Drosophila melanogaster: one gene and its partner. The protein of the gene in region 1 interacts with the protein of each later gene in a pairwise test. Each region holds a gene or a part of one and is shown on either strand. Other genes may lie near its edges. The genes, in order: CG7910 and Rift.

What was found.
Region 2: the proteins of CG7910 (region 1) and Rift interact in a two-hybrid assay, tested with the Drosophila melanogaster proteins (one large-scale study listed by BioGRID).

The regions. Positions count from the first base shown.
Region 1 is NT_033777.3:8,082,942-8,093,655, forward strand, and holds CG7910 (uncharacterized protein), read left to right. Parts: upstream 1-4,310; 5' UTR 4,311-4,600; coding exon 4,601-4,771; intron 4,772-4,844; coding exon 4,845-5,070; intron 5,071-5,136; coding exon 5,137-5,648; intron 5,649-5,702; coding exon 5,703-5,828; intron 5,829-5,879; coding exon 5,880-6,152; intron 6,153-6,207; coding exon 6,208-6,492; 3' UTR 6,493-6,585; downstream 6,586-10,714. Other genes in the region: mAChR-B (muscarinic acetylcholine Receptor, B-type), read left to right, coding at 1-210, 279-2,791.
Region 2 is NT_033777.3:31,805,399-31,812,164, reverse strand, and holds Rift (riboflavin transporter), read left to right. Parts: upstream 1-1,978; 5' UTR 1,979-2,423; coding exon 2,424-2,539; intron 2,540-3,701; coding exon 3,702-5,049; 3' UTR 5,050-5,298; downstream 5,299-6,766. Other genes in the region: FeCH (ferrochelatase), read left to right, coding at 46-424, 687-788, 844-1,165, 1,225-1,539; CG1971 (uncharacterized protein), read right to left, coding at 5,653-6,398, 6,526-6,571.

The DNA of each region.
Region 1 (10,714 bases):
GATCCAGTTCCGACTCGGAGATTCTTGGTCCTGTTTTGCCACCATTTGCACTGTGGCAGACGATCCTGATAGCCATATGCCTGGCGATCTGTATCATTCTTACGGTGGGCGGTAATATCCTGGTGCTACTGGCCTTCATCGTGGACAGGAATATTCGGCAGCCCAGCAACTACTTTATTGCCTCCCTAGCAGCCACGGATATGCTAATAGGTAGTAACTATTTTACCTTAAATTCAAAAAAAAAAAATTATTAATTGTACTATAAACCCATATTTCAGGAACCGTTTCGATGCCCTTCTACACGATATACGTGCTCAAGGGTTATTGGGACCTGGGTCCGATGCTCTGCGATCTCTGGCTTTCCGTCGACTATACTGTGTGTCTGGTGTCCCAGTACACGGTGCTGTTGATCACGATAGATCGCTACTGCTCTGTGAAGATTGCCGCCAAGTACCGGAGTTGGAGGACGAGAACCAGAGTGATATATATGGTCACAATCACTTGGATCATTCCCGCTCTGCTCTTCTTCATCTCGATTTTTGGATGGGAGCACTTCACCGGCAAGCGGGATCTACTTCCTGGCCAGTGCGCCGTTCAGTTTCTCAAGGATCCGATCTTTAATACGGCCCTAATCATTGGCTACTATTGGACCACACTAATTGTGCTTTTTGTCTTATATGCCGGGATCTACAAAACAGCCTATGATATGCAAAAGCGCAGTGAGGCGAAGCAACGGAAAATGCAATCCATGGTGGCACTGAGTGCTGGAGCGATGTCCGGAATGGCAGGTCATGCAGCTGGCATTGGTGTGATTGAGGAGAAAATCCTAAAGACCAAAGTGGAACTTGCGGGAGATCAAACCGATTTGGATAGTGCCTGCACCACAGTGATTAAGAGATTAAGTGGTTCCGGTCAGGCAAATCCTCTGGCCGTGGCCACCGAGGAAGTGGAGAAGATGACACCGGAACAGAGGAGAGCGTCGGCAGCAAAAATCCAGGAGGAGGCGAAAAAACGTGAGGCAGCCGTGGATGCGGAAAAGAGCGAGAGATCCAGCAGTCCTGCCTTCGATTCCGATGAGGAATCATCCGTCAACCAGGCCCAGCAGTTGATCACCCAGCAGAAATTGAACAACATGAGGAAGCGGTCATCGATTGGTCTGGTCTTTGGGGCACAGGCCGCCCTGCTGGCCACTCGTGGCAAAGGTAACTTGCAGAAGAGCACCACTAACTCCAAGTCGATCGAGGCCATGCACCAGTACCACCACCACCAACAGCACCATCACAACCAGAGTCCGTTACAGCGGGCGCAGAGCAAGGAAGAGATGCGCTCCCTGCACCACCACCAGAACCAGCAACAACCGCACCACCAGCACCACCAAAACCAGCCGAACCCACCGCTGGACAGGCCCAAGCGCACATCCTGCTCCACACTGTCCCAGATAGCCGAGCATGATCGTTTGGTCGACCTGTCCGCTCCTCCAACATTACTCAACACCAGTGATCCCCTGTCCCCCGTGGACTTGGCACCCATCGAGGTCCCTAGCGATCAAGTGCATCAGGGTCTGGTGCAGACCATTTTGCCACCTCCCGACGCCTTTCAGTGCCCCACCCCGCTCTCCGATGACTACTCGGATCGTCCCTTTGGGAATAGTTCCGGTAACAGTGAACTGGCCCTGACCTATGACCTGATGACGAACTCGGAGCTACGCTATATGGACGAGAGCTCCGCCATGCTGGCCAGTGTGACGGCCAACTCGACGACCTCCCCGAATGACAGCGTCCAGGGGAAACCACCAGTCCTGCCTCCACCACCGCCCGCACGCCGAAATCCACCAAAATCGAACCTGAACCAGAGCCTCAGTCAAACTCCCAGCCAAAACCAGAGTCCCAGCCAAAGCCTGAGCCTCAACCTGAATCCGAATCACAACCAGAGTCAGAGTCAGAGTATCGAGGAGGCGGTGGCCATTGAAAAACGTCTTCTCGTCTCGTACACAGGAATCGAGGACTTTGCTAAGGTGAGGCGGGAGAGCTGCATTGAGGCCATCTGCCTGTTGGATGTGCCCGGAAAGCTAGCTGCGGACTGTCCCCATCGCCGGGCCTCCAGTCCTATGGAGACCAGCAGCAAGGATGCCATACTCTATTCCCCGATGCCACCAATGCCACTCTCACCCAAGGTAAAGACTTCAACGCCACAAACGGGAACGCCCCAGTCGGCGGCGGGTGTAACACCACCGGTGCCACTGGAAAGGATTGAGGAGCGAGAAACCTCGGACAGTAATACCAACAAGATGCCCTCCACCTCGGGCACCACCAGCAGTACGGGCGGTGTGGGTGGAGGCGGGGAACAAGACGGTGTTGGTGCCACCAAAAAGAACGCGGGGGATGACGATGCCAACAGGGAGGAGAAGAGTTTGGCGGCCAGCCGAAACTCCAGCAAAAGGGCATTCATTCATTCGATAGGAAAGCACTTCAAGAGCAAGAAGGCTCTACCCCTGATCCTTGGAGTGGGTGGACGGCAGAAGTCCAAGTCGGAGAATCGTGCTCGCAAAGCGTTTCGCACGATCTCGTTCATTTTGGGCTGCTTCGTGGCCTGCTGGACACCCTACCATGTGTTGGCCCTCGTCGAGGGATTCTGCCGGCATCCGCCCTGCATCAATGAACACCTCTACATGTTCTCGTACTTCCTCTGCTACGCCAACAGCCCGATGAATCCTTTTTGCTACGCTCTGGCCAATCAGCAGTTCAAGAAGACCTTTACGCGGATCCTCAAGGGGGATCTGCACATGACCTAAGATGGTTTGGGGATCTGAAGTGGTTAAGCTGCTGGTGGTTGAGTTAAATCCCTGATAGATTTCCATTTTGCACTGCACTTGCGCAAAGGACCAGACACTTCAGAGCCCCGAGAGTCTGGCGCCTTGCAAACTTTTCCATTCCCAAACCCCTTACACCTCCTTAGGCCCATAAGTTTTCTATACATACCCAACGAAAGTGCTCCGCTTAATGGAATATCTGCTGGATTTCGACCATCAGCAAAGTATTAGAATCAAACACTTATTAAATTCAAAATTTAATCGGTGGACAGGGAAGAGTTATCTGTAAGTAGCCAAAGGTGTGTGCTATAGTTAGAATCGTTGGGGGGGAAAACAAGCAATCCGATTTGGGATGCATACATAGGTCTAGAGTGGCACTAAGCGGGGCGAAATGTTTTAGACAATAAATATTTTAATGTTAATAACCAATCTATGATAACCATGCAAAGTATATGATATGATAGCTAATAAAATAAATTAAGCATAAGATATACACATTTACCGAGACTAGAAAACCCTACAAACCAAAACTCTAAAGCATATCCCAATATAGAATAATACTTCTTTTGTTGTTCCGCAGAATATATCAATGAAAAGCAGACATATGAAGGGGGTAGGCCATAAGAAGACCAAAGAAAAGCATGTTAACCCTTTGAGGGATATGCCAGTCGAAGCCCTTTTGACGGTGACACTTTGTCGAAAACTACGCAAAATCGGACCTAATTTTGATTTCAAACGTTCATAGAAACTTTCTTTTACAGTTATTTTGGTAGGTTATAGTACTTAGAATATTGCAAAAATATAAACTGTGTTCAAACTTTTTCGACGAATGGTTGCCGTCGTGGGGTTAAGCAGTTCGATGTCAATCCTGCAGCAGATATACGATTTTAAGAACACAAAACCCAGCATACATACCCGCGTAATTGTCTATGGATATATGCCAGACAAGTTGAAGAGTTTTGTTTGAATATTCATGAGTGTAGAGCATACGAAGATACATACATATAGCTACATAGATGTCAATTTTTGCGCAAGCCAGCAACTTATACTTATACGGATATATAGACGTCTCCTTAGCGCCTTTGCCAAGTTGCCTAACTGAGTTCACTCTCATTCTGAAAATCTTTGTTCTCGGTTGAAGTACTTTGTTATTTGTTAACCGTTTCGTTAGCCGATTCGATTCGTTTTCCAGTGAGTAATGTGCTAAACAAGTTTTTGCTTTTGTTGAACGTTTCCATTTAGCACGTAAGTGATAAGTGTAACAATAACTAAAATTATTACTAAATAAATAAATGAATGAATAATTGCATTTTTTATGATACGAAGGGTGACGCTTTTTTTAGGTAAGTAATGATTTTATTTTTAGAAGTGTAGCGACTACTTTCAATTGGTTTTAAATTATTGTTAATTGAATTCTTTAAATTAATTTGAGTTAAAAGCCAGAGCTATTTTTTCTTTAAGTATTTTTTTTTTTCAAAATGATTTTCGAAAACGAGAACATCCAAAGTTTATATAGTGTTGGTTAATGCCAACCCGAGCTAACTTTGAAATTAAATTCAAATTGAAATGGAAAACAAGGGACGATAAGTGCGAGTGTCAATCGCCACGCGTAGTCCACGATCCGCAGTCGAAGTGTTCGGTGGTGTTCCAGGTGCAGCAGCAGTTCCCGATCCCCATACCACCTCCTAGGCAAACCAACGTCAGCTATAGTTAACCCACTTACGCTGAGGTCCGATCAAAGTCCAGTGATTTGAATACCCCAACCTTTTGTGACCCGAACGCCTGCTCGACATGGAGATCATTCTACGACTGCTGGCCTTCATTCTGAATGCCTTTGGCATGTTGGTGAATAAGATTCTAGATTTTGTATTGCCCCGTCAGAAACCCAAATTTTCGGGCATTCGTAATCCCCTGCTGAAGAAGTCCGTCGTTGAATTGGTCACCCAATTGCGACGCGGCGAGGTGAGTCTCCAAGTCCAATCGCGTCATTCGTGTGGGACATTTGCAAGTCATATATGTCGGGGTTCGATTCCAGATCACCTCGGTGGAGTTGGTTAGCGCCTATATAGCACGTGTGCAGGAAGTGAATCCTTCTCTGAATGCCGTTGTCGAGGATCGATTCGAGGCTGCCCTCCAAGATGCAAAATTGGCAGATCAGTTCATCGAAAAGGCGAGCTCTGAGTTCGATCGTGTGGCCCTGTACACCAAGTATCCCATACTGGGTGTACCGTTTACTGTCAAGGAGTCATGTGGTCTTAAAGGTATGTTTCAGATACTCAAAATCACTAAAAATATAGCAGAAACTTATATTTTTCACTGGTTAATAGGATTATCCTTTGCCGTGGGCAGTCTTGCTCGCAAAAATATGAAAGCCCCCCAGGACGGCGATGTGGTTGAACTGGTCCGTGCTGCTGGTGGCATACCCCTTTTGGTGTCTGCCAATCCAGAGTTTTGCATGAGTTTCGAAACCAGCAATAATATCCAAGGACGTTGCTTGAATCCATATGATCTGCAACGAACTTCCGCCGGATCTTCTGGCGGCGAGGCATCATTGAATGGCTGTGGAGCCACAACTTTTGGTGTGGGCTCCGATATCAGTGGTTCCATTCGCCTGCCGGCTCTGTTCTGCGGCGTTTTTGGCCACAAGCCCACTGGCGGGCTTACGTCGGTCAAGGGTCACTTCCCCTACTCGTTGACGGACAAGAAATTCTCCGAGATGCTGCAGATCGGTCCCATCACAAGATTCGCCAGGGATTTGCCCTTGCTGTTGGAAATAATGGCGGGCGATAAAAAACACAAACTGAAAATGTCTGAACCAGTTGCCCTGAAGGACATGAAGGTGAGATTTCCCAAACTAGGAAATGTATAATAGTCAAAGCTTATTTTCGCTTAGGTATACTATGCCTTTGGATACTCCGGCTTTAACTGCCTCACCCATCCCGTGGTGGACTTCGACATAAAACTGGCCATCACCAAAGCTGTCACGTGCTTGGAAAGAGGAGGTGTGCAGTCCAAGAAGGTAAGTACAACTTTGTAGAGTTTCTCGACCTAATGCTATTTTGCCAATCAGTTGGATCTTAAATTCCTGAGAAACTCTCTCGAGATTGCCCTGGTTTCCCTGGTGGACTTGAAGGGTCTGCCCAGTATCGTAACACAGCGGGCGGATCGTGATCCATCGATGCGTTTGCTGATGGTGGAACTCTTCAACAGCATCATAGGTCACTCAATCTTCACCAAAGAGGCCATGGTACTGGAGGTGATGAAGCGATTCAACGGCCTTATGGCCACTGGAAACATGGAAGAATACCGAGTTGAGGCCCAGAAAATAAAGAGCCATCTGAATGTAAGCGAATTAAATCATTCTTGAAGTTATACTGACCATTTAAAACCCATCACAGCAATTGCTTGGTACCCAAGGAGTCCTCATCATGCCCACCTTCCACACTAGCGCCCTATGTTTTCACACCTCGCTGTTAAACGTGACGGGGATCGACAATCTGCTGCTGTTCAACATCCTTGGTCTGCCCGCCACCCATGTGCCCATGGGCACAAATCAACGGGGAATGCCCATAGGGTTGCAGGTGGTGGCCGCCCAATATCAGGACAAACTCTGCCTGAAGGTCGCCGCCGAACTGGAGGCCGTTTTTCACGGCTGGGTGCCACCGGTACCACATGACACATGAAACACCAAGCGAGGATCGGGGGTACCTGCTCAGTTTTCCATTTAAGGTTAAAGGTTAAATTTTGTTTAAAGTGCTAATATAGTTGTGAAGATTAAAGTGAACTTCGTTTAATAAATGACCACCAATATTTGTTTATATTGGAGTGTTTTTTTTTTTTTTTATTTCCATAACATTTTTCGATAGATCAATATAACTTTTTAGTTTTGTGTACAGTCCCTCTAAAGCTGACCTGCAACAACGTTATATTGACGTTAGCTTGACTCAAAATCGATATCTAAGACAAATGGGCACTCTGCGAAGCGATAGAATATCCTACGTCTATCGGCACTTCAGCTGAAATCTTCGCATTTTAATCAACTTAATCAACCTTGCAATTACAACCATTGAAATGGGTAATATTTTTAGGCTTCGAAGACAACATAGAGTGAGTACAAAAATAATGCATTATGTGCTGAGCCCCGTCAATTACATTTCCATCGCAGACTGACAATCCTATGGAAAACCAAATTGAAATTTCCGTAAGTGCTTAAAATTTTAATTTGCCATTGCTTTAATGTTTGATTGCCCTCAAGGACGAGCCAGGAATCTATAGCTTAAGAAGGACAAGTCCCGATGAAAATGGGAACATTTTTGTGAATCATGAGATAAACCATGCTGCTTGGAGTAACCCAGCCCCAATTCGAAATGGGAGCTATCACAGGACCACTAGACCTGGTTTTGGTGGTCATCATTCATCGGTGCAACCAATCTATGAGGATTCGGACCAAGATGAGGGTGTCGAGGACTTGAATTCCGTATCTGACAGGGAGAACTTTGAAGTCGAATAATGCTAATAATATGAAATGTTAAATCAAAATATAAAATACTCTATTCGTAGAATTAAAAATTTATTTTCTTTAGTATTAAAAATACTCCTTTTTGAAGTACTCACCGCATTGCCGAAAGATCTAAGGCACCAGGGGATTCTAACCGCCATTATTCCAGACTTTGTAAAAGAGTGAGATCCCGAATCAATCAGTGTTTCGGTACCGCGAGTGTAGAGAATTAGTTATAGCCTCTCTTAGTCAATCACTCCACTCTCGCTGCGAAATTGTTTACGTTTCGTAAAAAACTCTCCACCTCTTCCTTCCACCTTATCAGCACCTTCCCTACCCTATATAGTAAAATTGTTGTTTTATTTATGAGTCGAACTAATGTCCCGTCAGTTGACTAAGGACAACGCCAAGAAATAAAAAATAGTTTTTAGGAGAAATAGTTTCACGACTTTATTCTTTGGATCTCAGCTTAAGACTAAAAATCAAATGCAAATTGGATTGAGGAGAAGCCTCAGTATTTGAACAATATTTGTATTTCGGGAGAGCCTCGCTCTTGGGTTCTTAAGATTAGGTAGCGTTGAAAGAGGGCAGTCAAATCTGCTTAGGTCAGGCTTTAGGATGTTTACAAGAACGGCTGCGCTGCCAAAGATAAACAAATGCTGCGCAGCTGGGATACGTTATGGAAAATTACTAGAGTGCATTACTGATTTCTTTGAAATAATGGAAGTGGCTGGTTTGGACCACCCAAATACGTCACTCCCCTTCCCTTAAAGAGAAGCCTATACTTGGGCTGGGATTGATGGATATAGTGTGGGAAATGGAGTTTCTTCTATTTCTGTTTGTTGTGGTGTGTTTTGATTTTGATTTTTTCTTATTTTAAGTTTTGCATACAGCATCATAAATGGTTTAAATGATACATATCTTAAATATGAGTACAACAAAATTAGTGCGATTATTACAATGATCATTTGTATGTAAAGTGTAATATTGTTCTCTGAAATCATCTTAACAATGTCGTTGTGTTTTACAATTTTTATTTTTGTTATATTAAGTGGTGTGTATAGTGGTGTCAAATCTATTTCTGGTTCTAACAGATTTTCACTTAAAATTATATTATTGATTTCTATTTTGCATTGCGTTACTCTTATCATTTTGTTTCCTTCTATTTTTATTTTATTAATTGAATTTTGGCAATTTTGGTTAAGAATTGTTTGGGTTAAGTTCCAGGTTACAATTGTGTTTGGTTCTATGTATTTTATTATTTCGTTCGTGTGTACTGGCTTAAAATTACAAATTGGATTTAAGTGTTTAATAATATTGGTGACACATTCATTTTTTACTTCTTTATTTTCGGTATTATAAACTTTATTTTCTTTTTCAAAATATGATTGTGTGTCTGTGTAATCTAGCTGATAGCCGTTGGAGTCTGGGTAAGGAATTATTTTAATTGTGCTTATTAGTGAAAGGTAAATGGGTATGTGGGATATGATTAATACTTGGTTATCATTGTAGTTAATCCAAGTGGATGTTTTAATGTTCAAAATGTTTTGGCTGTTCACATTTTCAAGTTTGTCGTAGTTTAGTAATTTGGGGTTAAACAGTCCAAGTCTGGAAAGCTGCATAGCCATTTCCAAATCTTCTATGTATTCCGTAAACTGCATTAGTTCGAACAAAAGACTGTCAATGATGGTGTGGTTATTTTCATAATTCTGTATTTTTTGCATTCCGTATTTTCCGGGGCTGTTAACCGAAAATTTTCGTTTAGTTCAGAATTATTTTGGTTTTGTTTGTTATTAATTTGTACAGATTGGACTTGTTGTTGCCCTTCATTAATGAAGCTATGATTTTGATACGGATTGTATTGATTTTGGTTAAAATACTGTTGCTCGTAATAATTAGGTTGGACTTGTTCGAATTCATGCGCGTCTTGGAATCTAATTTCGTCAATAGACATTTTAGTTTGTTCACTGTCCGATGGTCTTAGTCGTTTAGTAATCGGGAAGTTAGTATTTTTATATGTAGAGGGTTGTTGTAGTCGAGGGTATGTATTTCCTCTAAAATGCGTTGTTTGGGGAAATTGGGCTTTGTTGGGATATTGTTGGAAATGATTTTTTTGAATAATGGGTTGTGGGTTTATGTATTGGTTGGGTCTGAAATAATTAGGTGCGTGCCACATGGGTGGGTTGTTAGTTATCTGCTGTGTATAGCTAGGTCTAAATGGTTGAATGTATTGATTAAAATTAGGTTGGAAGGGTTGGGAATATTGTGAGTAACTTGGTCGATTTTGAGTTTGAACATTTGTATTGAATTTTTGTGTTTTCGAATTCTGGTTAGAATTTGAATTTTTATTACGATATTCTGGTTTTTCATAAAATTCAAAATTAATGTGTTCTTCATAAATTCCCTCATTTTGTGCAATGGTAATTAAGGATCTTAAGTCTGTAATATCGTGATGGGCTAAAATAGTGAATAATTGTATTGGTAGTTTCCTTATCAGTATCTTAATAGATTCTTTAATACCCTGAATATAAATAAGAAAATCCGATTGGTTACCTTCCAGGTGTAGTTTCGAAATTAGTAATTGACGTCGTCTCTCCGCTTCTTCGCAGAATGCTCTTAGGCTTCCTCTGTATGGTGTCTCCCTGAAGTTCTCCAGAAGTTTGTAGTTTGGTGTTTGAATTTTAAATTCCGCGATGAGTCTTGCTTTAAGGGTAGGCCAATCTTCGATGTTCGGAAGTCCCAAAGATCGTGTAATTTGTCCGTCCAAGTTCCTTTCGATGGCTCCCAGTAGAATCCTCTGTTGTCGGACATCATTTGTTTGGTAGAGCGAAATTACGTAATCCACTCTGCTGATAAAGGTGTGAAGGGTTTCTGGATCACCCTTGAATGGCATAATGTCTTTAAGCTGCCGACGGGCTTCGGCAAGGTTTATGTCGCTCAGCGCAATAATTGGTTGTGACATTTTTATTGTAAAATTTTTAACTTTTGTGTTTTATTTTTTTGTTTTGTTTCGGATTCAATGTTATTATTATTTTTAAGCTTTCTAGTTTCACTTGTTTGTTTTTTTTGTTTTGTAAATTTTTGTGTTGTATTATTAAAATTCTATATTGTTTTAATTTTTTATTTTTATATGTTGGTTTTAAAACTTAGTTGCCTTTGGACTTAATATTTTTGTTTCGTATTTCACTTCCACTTATTATTGGATAACCGAATTGGAATTATAATCCAAGTTGAAGAGTTTTCACGAATTTATTTTGGGAGATGTTTCGAGCACTGGACTATAAAATTTAACTTATTTTCCACTCGAAGGTTCTTTTTTTCGGATACTTTTGTATCCTACCGACTGCGCCAGTAAAATTGTTGTTTTATTTATGAGTCGAACTAATGTCCCGTCAGTTGACTAAGGA
Region 2 (6,766 bases), about 24 Mb from region 1:
CGAGTGGATACAGTTCCCACGACATTCCTACATATTCCCCAACAGGTGGTCTGGCAGGAGGAGTGCGCAACCTGAGCGGCCAAAAACCGAAGACCGCGATCCTAATGCTGAACATGGGCGGTCCGACCCACACGGACCAGGTGCATGACTACCTCCTGCGTATTATGACCGACCGGGACATGATCCAGCTGCCGGTGCAGAGCCGTCTTGGTCCGTGGATCGCCCAGCGCAGGACGCCCGAGGTACAGAAGAAGTACAAGGAGATCGGCGGTGGTTCACCGATTCTTAAGTGGACCGAGCTGCAGGGCCAGCTCATGTGCGAGCAGTTGGACAGAATCTCCCCGGAGACAGCACCTCACAAGCACTACGTCGGTTTCCGCTACGTGAATCCCCTCACTGAGAACACGCTGGCCGAGATCGAAAAGTGAGTGTAGTCGAGAAGTAGAACAAGAGTGATGTAAATAATCCGAAGGTCGTGAAATTGACCTATATATATTGCTACGGACTCTCACAATAAGATATGTTCTAGTAAATAAGTTTGTATAGACTTCTGACTTCTTATGCATGTTTCAATGTCCTGCTATTATCAGTTGACTTCTTGGACAAATTACTGAAACCTAAACCTGGAAATTATGGTCATTTGCGCTACTTAAAGAATACATGTTAATATTTTAACATATTTACAGGGACAAACCAGAGCGCGTTGTACTCTTTTCACAATATCCACAGTACAGCTGCGCCACCTCCGGATCCAGCTTTAACTCCATATTTACTCATTATCGGAGCAAGTGAGTTAGAAATGCACAATTGCAGCTATTTATTTGATCCCCTCTACCTCTTTAGTAATCTGCCCTCGGATATCAAATGGAGCATTATCGACAGGTGGGGCACTCATCCACTTCTAATCAAAACGTTTGCCCAGCGAATTCGCGACGAGCTGGCCAAATTTGTGGAAACGAAACGAAATGATGTGGTCATCCTCTTCACTGCCCACTCCCTTCCCCTTAAGGCTGTGAACCGGGGTGACGCGTATCCCTCGGAGATTGGTGCTAGCGTACACATGGTGATGCAGGAACTTGGTCAGACGAATCCCTACAGCCTGGCATGGCAATCCAAGGTGGGCCCGCTACCCTGGCTGGCGCCCGCAACTGATGATGCCATTAAGGTGTAACTTTAATGCCGGATTTCCATTCCCATCCACTAAAACCAATCCCATCTTTACAGGGCTATGTTAAGCAAGGCCTGAAGAACTTCATCCTTGTGCCCATTGCCTTCGTGAACGAGCACATCGAGACGCTGCATGAGCTCGACATCGAGTACTGCGACGAACTGGCCAAGGAGGTAGGCGTAGAGGAAATCCGTCGAGCTGCAACCCCCAACGACCACCCGCTGTTCATCGACGCCCTGACAAACGTTGTGGCAGACCACCTGAAGTCCCAGCAGGCAGTCAACCCCAAGTTCCTCATGCGTTGTCCCATGTGCTCCAATCCAAAGTGCAGGGAGAGCAAAAGCTGGTACCGCCAGCTCTGCTCGAACTAAGCAACCAAGTCAACTTGCGGGGGTGGGTAGCACTGCGTGACAAGCGTTTCAAGTGCTGCAGCTGGAGGAGAACATTTATGCATTCATTTGGGTTTCTGGGGGATTGGTTTTCACATACTGGTGTTTATTTCTTTCCGCTTTAATTAAAGTCTCTGTTGAACAGTATAAAAAATGCACAGTTGGTTTTGAAGTGGTAGCTTTGTTGAGAAAACATCTATGCCTTTTCTATGTTACAGCGAAACTATAAAAATGGAATGCTAAAATGTAGCTTTTAAATGGCGAATGCCAAGCGAGCTTGCTAACTAATATACTCTTCTAGGAACACAATTTATAAGTTCCAAACCCATAACAAAACAGTTGCGCTCTATAAAGAGAGCCAGCAGTACTTTAAAATGTTCTCTTATCTTAGTCACGCTCTCGCTCTGTCGCACGTGCGATGGATTCGGTATTTTTTCGCCGGACGAACAGCTGTTCGACTGTCAGTTTTATTCTTGCCTTCCGATCCGATGTTTATTAAATCAAATTCCACTTTTGAGTGTTCAAATGGCTGACAAAATTTGCGAAAGCTGGTTGTTCTCCCCTGCAGTCGACTTCTTCTGGACACTCTTGCATTTCTCATCGTGTCGCGCCGTCAATGGAACTTCCCGGAATATTGCATAATTGAGACTTCCCAGGCCTTCAAATTGGAACTTCGACTTTGCATTAATTGACGGCTCGCGCTGGAATTAACCTGCCAATTGCCTTCGATATTCCACATTACGCCAATTGAGCCGTTGATTTTTAATAACGAACCGAGGCGCGTTTGGCCACAGTGGCCTGGATCGGGAAATCTAATCGCCGCGGGGATCATAAAACAATTCGAAGAGCACACTCCGACTCCGAATATGAGCAGGTACCACAGAGGCCGAGGAGCTGGTAGCCCCACGAATCCAGCGGGGCCAGTCTACGGCGTGATCTCGACGTTGGACGACGCCACTCCGAGTCCCGCGGATTTCGCCAGGTAAGCGAGCAATTACTGCTTTCACGTTTTATTTGCGCTTGCTGAGAGCGAAAACCAGTTTGGGATCGGGCTTAAATGCTGCGGGCGGGCTTTCTTTCCATCCCTTTTTCCATATTTGGCAGACTTATATTTTACGACCACATCGTTACACAGCAACTATAAAACAACCATTGGTGTAAAGATAATTTGGAAATTTTCCGTATTTATTTTCATTTTTGTTATCAGCTTTTCTTGCCATAGTCTTGTACTTTACTTGGAAACACTGTTGCTGTAGTTAAACTGTAACTTGGAGTTTGCAAATCGTATGAATTTGTAAAACAAGTTATATGTATTCATATCCAGTAAAAAGAATCAACACATCATAGTGGAAACCCTTTAGTTATATTAGAAACTTTAGTCCTGCTTCTCACCTAAGGAATCTCTTTAGAGATTAAATGAATGCCTACCAAGTTCCCGATTGTGATTCTTATCGTCTTCAGCCAGATACGTGCAGACATCGAATGGCCACAAATTAATTGAGTTAGCAGATTAGATGAAGATCGTATGTGACCGATGGCACACACTTAATATCACATGAAAATAAGATTAGCACAGAGATATATCCACTTTGGTATATCCAAAAGAAATCAAAGGTGCATTTTTTTTTGTTTTCTTTTTTTTTTTAAATGTATTAATGGGTGCCTCCAATGGGAGTACAAAAGCAGCATTTTGTTAATTTGAAAAGCTGTCGCTTTCGGTTGATTCTATACATTTTTTACAAGATTCGTGTGAGGTTTATAATTATTATATACACACACATCCATTCCACACGAATGTAACGTAAAGCCACAGAACCATTTTAATCGTATTCGCTCGGTTATCTGTCCGAAAGACAAACATAATGAACTGTAAATGCCATATGCTTGATAATGACTTTTTAAGGCTTATCTGAACCATTGAGAGAAATAAGCCCGTAATTGTGACTTGGGTGCCATAAGCCTAGGCCACTAATAGTGTGCAAAGTTGCATGCTAAAATTAGTTTTCGTTAATAAATATTCTTGAAAACATTGGGTGTTTAATTACATCTAGATATTCACAATGTGAAAGGTAGCTAATTTTTGAATTATTGCTAGCTGTTTATATAGGTTATAGATTATATCTAATCTCTTATTCATTTTACAGATGCTCCTCTCTCGAGGCCAAGAAAAGTGAGCTGAGCTTGTTCCTTAACTGGGGAGGCCCACAAAAAAATATGGAGATAAGCTCGAAGCTAAGAAACCGCAGCTGGCTCGTCGACGTGCTGGCCATCTTCTTTGGCATAGGCACCTGGCTGGGCGTCAATGGCACCTTCATTCAGCTTCCCCTGCTGGTGGACGAGGCACCAGAGGGCTGGAGTCTGCCCTCTTACCTTAGCGTTATGGTCCAGATTGGCAACTTGGGCCCACTGCTCTACACTGCCATCCAGAAGTACTCGCCCAAGAAACTAAATGATGGTTGGACCATTCACGGAGTGCTCCTGGTGGGAGCTATATCGTGCTTGCTGACGGCGTTCTTCTACAACCAAACCGCTTCGGTCGCTGGCACGGATCACAGCTTAGCCCTCTTTTTGCTGACCTGCTTCACGGCGTTAAATGCCTGCACTAGCTCGGTGCTTTTTATGCCCTACATGGGACGCTTCAAGGAGCAGTACATGGTCACCTACTTTATTGGCGAGGGGCTGAGTGGTCTCCTGCCCAGCGTGACGGCTTTGATCCAGGGCATCGGCGAGAGTGGCGACTGTGTACTGGTCAACGTAACCGAAAGCGGAGAGGAGGTCTACGCGCTGCGGAAGACACCTCCGAGATTCGATACCCGTGTTTTCTTCCTTATCCTTTTCGCGCTCATGGTTCTAGCCTATGTGGGGTATGCACTTCTGAATTCCCTCCCCTTGGCCAGAAGGGAGTACGCCCAGGTTACCGTCAGTGAGGGCAACAAGTACGTTTACGGAGAGGCGGATAACCAGCCAAAAGCGGAAAAGCTGAGTAAAGGCCAGTACACATACCTCCTCCTGCTAATCGGTGCGATTTCGCTGTTTAGTAACGGAATGTTCGGCAGCATACAGTCCTACTCCAGTGCCCCGTACGGATCACAAGCGTACCACTTAGCAGCCACCCTCAGTGTGATAGCCAACCCGGTTGCCTGCTTCATGGCCATGTTCCTGCATTTTACCTCCCTGCGGATTATCACGGTGCTCTCTATCCTTGCGGGTCTGCTGACCAGCTATGTTTTCACCACGGCGGCTCTGAGTCCTCTTCCGCCACTTCACGACCAGACCGTTGGTGCCGTACTCGTGGTCACAGCCTGGACTTTGCTGGTAGGGATTGTGAGCTACACGAAACTGGGAATCACCACGGTTATGCGGGCGCAGGGCGGACAATCGCTGGTCTGGGTGGGCGCCATCACGCAGCTAGGATCCGCTATCGGAGCAGTGGCCATCTTCTTTGCGATCAACTACTCAGACCTTTTCCAGGCCGCAGAGTCGAACTGCTAACCTCGCCAGAAACTCGACGCGGCCAGGATTTCCAGGGATGCATCGTGATTTTAAAATTGCTATTACTGTAGTTTAGTGTGATATTTTAATGTGTATTTTCACCTCAAGTCACAATGAAGACAATACCTACCTGAACTCGCGCTTTTTTATACAACAATTTGCAGTTGACTTGCAACCCTTCGTAGTTTTAAGTATAAAAGTGGATATCAACATAATGTACATAGGACAAGAACAAGAATCCGAAGTTTTAAAAATTATAAACGTTGGCTTCTAAGTAAAAAGATAAAGTTCGAACCTAATGTCTTCCCTTGTTTTGATTTAAATCCAGCAAAAGGTGCTTTGAGTTATATATCTCTGATATGAAAATCAATTTTCTGTATTTAAATATTAATTTGAAGAGGTATTATTATAGTGCCTTTGCCTGTATATTATTTAAAGTTTAATATGTAGTTTTGACGGATTTACATCTTTCTTATACCAACTAAAATTTATTTTTTCTATAATCGTCCTTTAAATTCTTACTAGGCATTGAAAAGATACTCCTAAATGCAACTAATTTGTATTAATTGTGTTTAAAGCTTGCTCTTTACCAATATCAATTTTTTACCGATCGGCCCTTATATCCGCCCCCGATTCGTTATTGGACCGCTCCGGCTGCTCTACCTCGCTGTCTATGTCCCCCTCGTAGCCCGAATTTGTTTTCGAGGCAACGGGAAGGGGATTGTGCCCTTTAGACAGGAAGGACTCGTCCAAGGTGCAGCAGCTACAAAAGCACTCCTTAAAATGACGGCAGGTATCCCCAAGTTTCTCGGGGGCCGCCTCTAAGACCTTGTTGAATGCTTCGATCTTCTCGCGCAGGCTGCGGCTGGCACTGGGACACCCAAAGAGCTGACTTCCTTGTGGAGACGGCCGTGAAGATTCGCTGCCAATCTTCTCTAGAAAGCCGAGAACCTTCTCCAGTGAGTCTCGGGCACGTTTGAAGTTCTCCTGGCTCTCCCGCAGAACTTGGCTTTCATTGAGGTGCTCAAATTCCACCAATAGACCTTGAATCTCGGTGAGGTCAGAAGGCAAACTCATGCCCGCCACGGCGGAGGTTTGCGGGGCGTTCACAGCATTAACCGTCTCGAAACCCACGATCAGTCGCTGTATCTTGGAGGCCCCGGCGCGGTGGCCACACCTCGCGAGCTGCATCATGTCGTTCACATCGCCCACCTCCTTGAGCAACTGCACCGACGACTGCATTACCTTCTGGTGCTCCTGAATGCCCTGCCGCAAACGGTCTTGCAGGTTGTGAAGGTATAAGCTGAGTTGACGCACCTGCTCCTTTTCATCGAAATTACTTAGAAAGACTGGGAGGAAATCAGGAAGGAGTAAGTTTACCTTTGAGCATATTCAAATGTTACATGTACATGCTAAGTACATGGCATTACTAGAGAGGAGCTTTAATTTAATATTATTTAACACCTACGGTCTTACCAGGAATTATATTTTCGCTCTCTGATGCTGAATTATTGTCGGCCATTGTTAAACGCTTCAGTCCACTAGGGATCCCAAAAATCACTATAAATTTTGAAAACTGGTGACAAACCGTGACTTTAATTCAATCTTATGCCAATGTAAATCTCTAAGGTAAAATGATTTGAAAAAGTGTACACTGTTGCCTATTATCACGGTTTTGAGCCACCGCTGCTCTCCGTTTTTCGATCGCCTTGGTCCC